2 linked regions of the Macaca fascicularis genome follow. The protein of the gene in region 2 interacts with the protein of the main gene of each other region in a biochemical or structural test. Links are inferred from orthologs where the notes say so. Each region holds a gene or a part of one and is shown on either strand. Other genes may lie near its edges.

Region 1 (3,810 bases), on a different chromosome or scaffold from region 2:
CCTTGGTGAACTTGTGGTTCTCGAGGATGTGGTAGAGGTCTCGGAAGTTGCCCGTGTGGAAGGCGACCACGGCGCGCGCGCGCAGGATCGACTCGTGTTTGTTGATGGCCTCGCACGCCCCGGGGGCCACGGGCAGCGACCAGAGGAAGCGGCCCAGCCGCTCGATGTCGCCCGTCTCCTCCAGCGTCTCACAGACGCTGGCCACCTGCTCCGGCGAGAAGTTGAGGGTGGGCAGCTGGAACATGGACAACTCTTCCGGGGGGGCCCTGGAGCCGCCGCCGCCGCCGCCTGCTCCGCCAGCACCGCCGCCTCCCGCACCGTTCCCTCCGCCGCTGCCGCCTCCCGCGCCGCCGCCGCCTCCCGCACCGTTCCCGCCGCCGCTACTCGCCAGAAGTATGGAGCGGTGGTGAGAATCGGCGAAGTTTGGCAACAAGAAGTGGGAGGAATAGAGGTCTAGGGGGGAGCGGAATACCATGGACTGACCTGAGAGGAGAGGAGAAAATTCAGGGAGAGGAAGAGAGAGGGGAGGAAGAGGAGGAGAGGGGCGATGAGGACCAGGAGGAGGGAGAGGAGAGGGGGGAGGAGAAGAAGGAAAGGAGGGGGGAGCAGGAGGAGGAGGAGGGGGAGGAGGAAGGGCGTAAAGGACACCCACACCCCACACACATCCACACACACACACACCCGCGCAGCCACATAGAGAGGGAGGAAGGAGAGCGGCCCGGTGCGCGCGCGCAGAGAGAGAACCCGAGACGGAGAGAGAGAGGGAGAGAGGAGAGGGAGAGCCAACCACCGCCGAGTCAAGATTCAGCGATTCCACCGCAATCGCCCTAATGACAACAGCCTCATAATATCTCCCCTAAATCCACAGTGAGTGCAGCATTGAAACATTTTGTTTCGCTTTTCTATTGGTCTGTGGCGTGTCGTTGTGGCGTTGCCACGGCAACCACTGCCAATCACTGTCAGCCCTGCCAATCAATACCGAGAACGTAAGGACGGTTTTACCACTTAGCCAGAGGGCGGGGGGAGGGGGAGAGCAGGGAAGGAGGGAGAAGGGGGGGATAAAGAGAATTTTTTTTATCTTTGCAACTCTTAATCTCGCTACTTCCCCCTCTCTCTCTTCTCTTCTTCCTCTCTCTCTTCTTTTCTCTATCGCTGTCTCTGAGCCGCCTTCTTCCCTTTTCCCCAAAGAAGTTGATCCAGAAATTCGAAAAGCCCTGGGCACAGAGTTGTTGAATGGGATGTGCAATTAGAGCGGGGATTTTGTTGGGAGGCAAGAGGGTCCCCCAGGCTCCACACAGGCCAGGTCGGCGGGCAAGGAAAGACGGCTGACCAGCCCAGCGGGCGCGGTTTGCACATGGTTTGCACGTCGAGTCGCCTCTTTCTGCCTATGTGAGCACTAATAGTGGCAAGGAAGAAAGGAGAGATGAGATCATGGGGCCCACCAAGCACCGACCTTGGCCCAGCGGGCCGTGGCGCCAGCCAGGGATCCCGGATTCCGAGGGTATCTGGCGCCAGGGAGCCTAAGCCCAGTTCCCAGGGTGCTGGAGGCCGCTCTTGCCTCCCCCATCGGTGCCCATGGACCACATTCACCTCAGCTCCCTCTTCATCAGTTAGGCTTCTCTTTACTCCCTCCCCAGCCAAGGAGCCTCGATTTCCCCCACCACCCATTTTAAAATAATAGTCCAAACAGTACAGTTCTTTCCATCTTAAGAAGCAACTCAACTCTTTGTTTCCTCCCAGAATTCAGCAGCCTCTGTGAGGAGTGGTGGAGGAGCTGCGGGAGCCGAGAAGCCCAAGAGCCCTCTGGACCCGGAAAAGTCCCACAGATGCCCACTCCTCACCACACAACAGAAGGATCTCTGGTCCTGCCTGCCAGCCCCAGAGGGCACTCAAACTTTGGAGGCCAGCCACCCGGATGAAGTGAATAAGGCCTGAAATTGCTTGTTTGCTCGTATTGTAAAATAATAATAATTACCATTATTATTTTAAAACTGCCTAATTTCTCTAGGGAAAGTAACATTGAAAGCCTAAAACACACCCCAAAAGGCCCATAGAACACAGAGGGCCCTCTCTGTCTCTGGCCACTACAGCCCCCAGGCCAGGCATGGGTATTTATTCTTAGGTATGTTGCTTTTAAGAAGATGTAATCAGCATCTTGAGCCGGGCCTCCCTTTGTGAGGCTTCTGTAACTATGGAAGTGTGATTTACGCAGATTTGTCGGGGTCAGAGACGTCTTTCCCTGAGCGCTGTGTATATTTAGACAGGACTCGGTTTGGTGTTAAAAAGTGTATATGTTGAATAGATTCACACACAGTAGCCAACAATGACCACATTGTCGGCCCGTGTACAACGCGTATTGAAACGCAGCGCCCAGACTTCAACTAATCTGCCCTCAATAAAGCTGAAATAATTATCCTAAGCTGCCTTTCCAGAAGAAAAATCATTGAGGAATTCAAAACTTTTTTTTTTTTTTTTTTTAAAAAGATCTTTTCTGCATTCCGATGCAGATCTGGGGGCAAGGCGCCGGGTCCACACCACTTTGGTGATCTCAATGAGGGAAGAGAGAAAGAGAGGTTGAGAGAGAATTTAAATGGGAAACCTAACGTGACTGGGGCTGCGAGTGTCCCAGCCCCTAAACTCCGAGCTGGAGCCCTGCTTAGGCCTTGACTCCCGCAGTGCCAGGCCTCTGAGGGCCGAGGGGAAGAGCAAGCCGGCAAGTGCAAGCCTCCTTGGAGGCTTCCGGCGGCAGGGAGGCCCTGGGACCGGCGAGGGGCCAATACTGGCTCACTTAGCCAGAGGCAGCCGTGAGGTAGCAGGTCTTAAACACGACGACTGGGGCAGAAAAATATTCCTCCAAAGGGAAGACCTGCCAAGCCCCATTTCAGTGCTCTCTCCACTCCTGCCAAGCCCCATTTCAGTGCTCTCTCCACTCCACATATATTTCCTCCCCTCCCGGCCATGAGTCCTCCTCCAATGCAGCTGAGAAGCTCTGGGCGGTCGTTCACTGAGGGCCCAGAAAGAGCCCAAAGGTTGGGACTCAAAAACAGACACTTCATGTTTTCTTCCCGATCCCTTTCTCTCGTAGGGGAAGGATTATAGGCTGAAGGGTGGGAGGGGGAAGGGGCAGGAGGAGGAAGCGGGGGAGGAAGGAATGAAAAAGGGGAGGGGAGTGGGTATTGTGCCGCGTGTGGGGGGAGAATTCCTACGGGTGGGTTTCCGAATATTGTGTTCAACTTTTTGAAAGCAGCTCGTGACCCCGAAACTGCATCCCCCGGAGCCAGGGACCCAGGCGCCGGGCGGGCGGGTGAACCCGGTCAGTCCCCTCCCCGTCCCCGAAACCCCCGCCTCCGGGTGGGGGCGACCTGGCCTCTCCCTGCCACTGCCGGGCCAGCCCCGGAGGGAGGCTGGGCAGGTGCTGCGGGCTCTGCGAAAGCGCTGAAATCAAAAACCATCGCCACTCAGGGAGAACTGAGGCAAGTGGGGCTGAGACTCTGGCGACACCCCCACTGCCTCCCCCTAGCCTCTGCCCCAGAGCCTGCCGCCCCGTCGCACCCCGCCTGCTCGGGTGGTGACCGCGGCTCCGGAGCGCCAAGCAGGGCAGAGGGCTGCAGCTAGGCGTGTAGCTTTGTGCGCCGGGACCCGGTGGGGCGGGTGGCATCCCGCGCTGTCCGCGCCTCCCAGCAGAGCCGAGCTCGGCGCCGCCCACCGAGCCCACCTCGCGGTCCAGCCGCCGCCAGCGCCTCTCGACTCTGGCCTGAAGCACTACTCTCGCCGCCTGGAGCCGGTAAGTTGAGAGTCCGCAGAGCAGGG
Region 2 (3,810 bases):
ATCGGCGGGTCCAGCAGCGAGCCCGGCGCAATGCAGCCGGGCGCCGAGGGCAGCGCGTCGTCCCATAGCGCCCCCGCCTGCGGGGGGAAGGCCGGCGTGGTGGGGGTGGACGGTGGGGACTGTTTGAAGTACATGGAGGTGCTGGGGAGCACCTCGTCCTCTGGGCTGGAGGCGGGAGGAATGGATGGCTGTTGATGCTGCTGCTGGTGATGGTGGTGGTGGTGGTGGTGGTGGTGGTGATGGTGGTGGTAGCTGGGCGCCCGCCCCTCCTCCACTTTGATCAAGGGCCGCTGCATTTGGTACACGCAGGAGGGCTTGAGTTCGTAGTTGCTCGAGTAGCCCTCGACGAAGGTACTGATGCTGGGCAGGGACGTGGTGGCTGTAGCCGTGATCTCAGTGCTGCCGAGGTCCATGGTCAGCTTGGTGTAGTCAGGGTTCATGATCTCCGTGGCGTATTCCGAGCTGTATGTCTGCGCAGCATAACTGGAACCTGGAGGCGAAGGGCTATATTGGGCTTGGACGCAGGGCATATCTGCAGGGACCGAGAAAAGGGTCTCTCAGAAGCAAGTTAACACTTGTTTTCTAGCCAACAGGCAGCACTGAGTTCACTGTTCTCTAATCTGGGAAATAGAGAGGAAGTGTCATCCTGTCCTCCTCCTGGTAGCACAGACACAAAGCCCCACACTTATTTACTTCATCCCTAGTAAGGAAGCTGAATTCTTGACAAAGGGGTGCCAAAACCTGACCTGTGGACCTCTGTGCCTATCTTCCCTCCCTTGCCCTGTCCTCCACCAGATTTGGGAAACTTGAAGTCTTTCCTCATAAGCTCACAGATGTTTTTAAAAAGAGGTGTTGAGTCCTGTAAACTAATTGGAGTGGCCTCCTCAGCTATAACCTAGGAGGACAAAGAGAAAGCCAGCGGTTTATTTGGGGGGAAAGAGGCCATTGGTCCCCCAAGGCACACACATTGATTTGTAAACCTGAGTTAGTCAAAAAAAAGCTACCCTGTGAGAGATTTAGTGGCCAAGGGAGAGAGTTGACATTCTAACATTTTATGAGTGCCAATTGAGGCTGCCCACACACGTTGTGGTTGCTTTCTCCCACCCCCTCCCCACTCCTCCAATAGGGCTAGCAGCCTGCACAAACTGGACCCCTGTTGATAACTTCAGTCAGCTAGGTGGGGACATAGGCCCAGGAAATGGACTCGGGGGAGTTTATACCATCTGCAAAGAAAAAGATCAGCAGCTGCAACAAAACACCCACCCATATATATATATATATATACACACACACATATATATCCCAATTCTAACTAATAAAACAAATCAGTGGCTGTTTTGTGATAACAGTTTATAACTATTATAATAGGCAAGTTAGTATTGGTATTTCCTTATGACACTAGAATTAGTACCCCGATAAAGAAAAAAGCAGTTTCTGAATAGACTTGATTTCTCTGCCAGTTTGACTATGTTGCCCCCAAAGTGGCTGGTATCCAGGGTGCTTACTATTGTTCAGAGAGGCTGAACTGAGTGAGAAGGCTCTGAGAATTATTAGATGTTGTGGATGATTTATCTAATTATTTTCCTTTCTTTATGGCTAAATATAAATGGTAAAAAAACGGTGGTTTCTGGTGGTTGGTTTTTCTGAGCCAAAGGAAAACCAGGTGCTTAACGCCTCTTTGGAGTCTATAGTGTAAAAGGTGTGACTAATAGAGAAGTGAATACTTCACATTTCCTTTGACATCTTTCTCTTACCCACATTTCCAAATCTGATTGAGTCATGCATGTATGGGATGAAATCTTGACTTGAAAAAAGGTGATGAGGGCCTGTTGGAAGAAGCAGTGATGAGGAGAGGCCAGTTCAAGCTTTTCTTTAACAAGCAGGGCCTTAAAAATACACTCACTAGTTTGAAGTCCAGTAACTTATCTTGCTGTCCAGTTGCTGGGATGAAATGAAAGGCTAATCATTTAGAAGAAAGAACACTGCCTGATCTTTCATCTATTCTCCTTCTCCCTTCAGCACCTCTAGGATTTCTCCCTTAGTCTTTTCTGTCATTCTTTCCGGCCAGTCCCTTCCTATTGCTCTTATTTGTGTCTTTCTGAGGTTTCTCTCTAGAAGATGAGCTTGCTGGGATTGTATTCTATTTATTTGCATTATCTATTGTGCCCACACAGGCTTGGCACCTAGTATTCCTTTAACAAATTTGTAAAGAGGTGGTACAAACCAAACGTGCAATCTGTTCTTTCGCCAAACTCAAATTTACTCTTTGGTTTTCAGCTCAAATGCTTTTCTCCTTCCCTCCCAGCTTCAATCATCCAAACTTCTGCACCCAAATGATTTGAGTTGTATATAAATGAAAATGCTCAGTATTGCTCTAAGTGATTCCATAACTCTTACATGTGTACACTGACTACAAAAGAAGAGCAAAAATGAAATAAAAATGTGTAATATACCCTAATCTATTGGTGTATTTGTATTTCTCTTAGGAAAATTAATTTTGAGCAATGCAAGCTTAATTTAATTTGGCTGCTCCACTCAGTAGCAACAGGGTGTGGTATACAGAGGAGCTTCCCATGAGGAAGCCACCTGTGTTGTGAAATTCGCGGCCAGCCGTCACTGTCCTGGCACTGGGCAGATCGACCACGCTGCCCGCCGAGTGTGTGGTTCCCCCACCCACTTCCCTCGGCCAGGGAGGAGAAAAGGGTCGTGCCTTCGTACCTACCTGGAGGGTATCTTGCGCGCTGAATGGTGGGGCTGGGGGTCTCTCCAGCGGAGGCTGAGAGTGTAGGAGCAGCGGACGTCCGGTGAGGCGAAGTGCCGGCAGTGCTCCCCGGCACCGCTGAGGGTCCAGGCTCAGGGCCCGGGCTTGCCGGGCTGCGCTCTTCCACAGTGGGCTCTACAGGCACGGGGAGAGAGGACATAGGTCACAGTGAGACCAGGATGGGTCACTACGACCCGGGCTGGGCGCATTGGGGACTGGGGGAATTGGTTGGCGACCTCTAGAAATGCTACATTAATTACAAAGAATTATCATAAAATTAAGGGTGATTAATGGTACAGGAGTCCCCCTGGGCAAAAAGCATCACGCAGCCTTGGGGAAGCCGAGGAAAGGTTGTACGAACCCACTGCGCCTACCACTGTTTTGTGGCACTGGAACCGAGGCTAAAAAACGCGCAGCCTGTTATCGCCCAGAAATTGATCTCTCTGCCCCCACAATTGATTCCGAGCTTGCGAAGTCAGGAAAACCGAAGAAAGCAGAACACTTGAAGAACGAGCTCCGCCGGAATACGGGGGTCAGTGAGTGTTCACTAGCGGAAAAAAGCCATTTTCCAACTCCGCCCGCCCCCATCCCTCAAATACAAATTTTACACGTTGCATAGGAAATGCACAAGGTCCGGAACGAATGCATGAATGCCCCAAGGAATTAAGAAAGTCTGCGCTTTTCATTCTAAATGCTAATGGAGCTTCGCTTCTATTAGCCGCGAGTTTCAAGGGCCAGGGGTCAAGCAAACAAAAGGGCACAGCAAAGGAAGCCTGGCGCTGGAAGCAAGGGGACGAAGCGGACGGCGTTCGCGGCCGATGGGGCGGGCGAAGGCAGGTCCCCTGTACCCAGAGGGCGGTGTCTTCGAGGGTGGGCCGCTTAGAGACTCCCGGCCACCCAGCGGCCTAGAGGGGGCACATTCCTGAGGGCGCCCACCGCGGCTCCGGGACCAGCGTCTCAGCGCACAGCCTCAGCGAAACTTTGTAGCTGAAAGCGCAGCTCAGCAGGCCTCAGGGAAGGAACTGGGTGCCCCAAACTCCGGCCTATAG

Evidence for each region.
Region 1: the proteins of NR4A3 (region 2) and SIX3 form a complex in vitro, tested with the Homo sapiens proteins (3 studies listed by BioGRID). The link is inferred for Macaca fascicularis from reciprocal best matches to the Homo sapiens genes NR4A3 and SIX3.

The regions. Positions count from the first base shown.
Region 1 is NC_088387.1:77,099,348-77,103,157, forward strand, and holds part of SIX3 (homeobox protein SIX3), read right to left. Parts: intron 3,785-3,810; exon of another isoform or gene 3,379-3,784; intron 2,420-3,378; exon of another isoform or gene 1,741-2,419; intron 1,390-1,740; exon of another isoform or gene 1,110-1,389; intron 484-1,109; coding exon 1-483. UniProt on the Homo sapiens protein: Transcriptional regulator which can act as both a transcriptional repressor and activator by binding a ATTA homeodomain core recognition sequence on these target genes.
Region 2 is NC_088389.1:58,296,734-58,300,543, forward strand, and holds part of NR4A3 (nuclear receptor subfamily 4 group A member 3), read right to left. Parts: intron 3,309-3,810; exon of another isoform or gene 3,123-3,308; intron 2,897-3,122; 5' UTR 2,723-2,896; exon of another isoform or gene 2,719-2,722; intron 1,827-2,718; 5' UTR 1,786-1,826; coding exon 1,755-1,785; intron 533-1,754; coding exon 1-532. UniProt on the Homo sapiens protein: Transcriptional activator that binds to regulatory elements in promoter regions in a cell- and response element (target)-specific manner.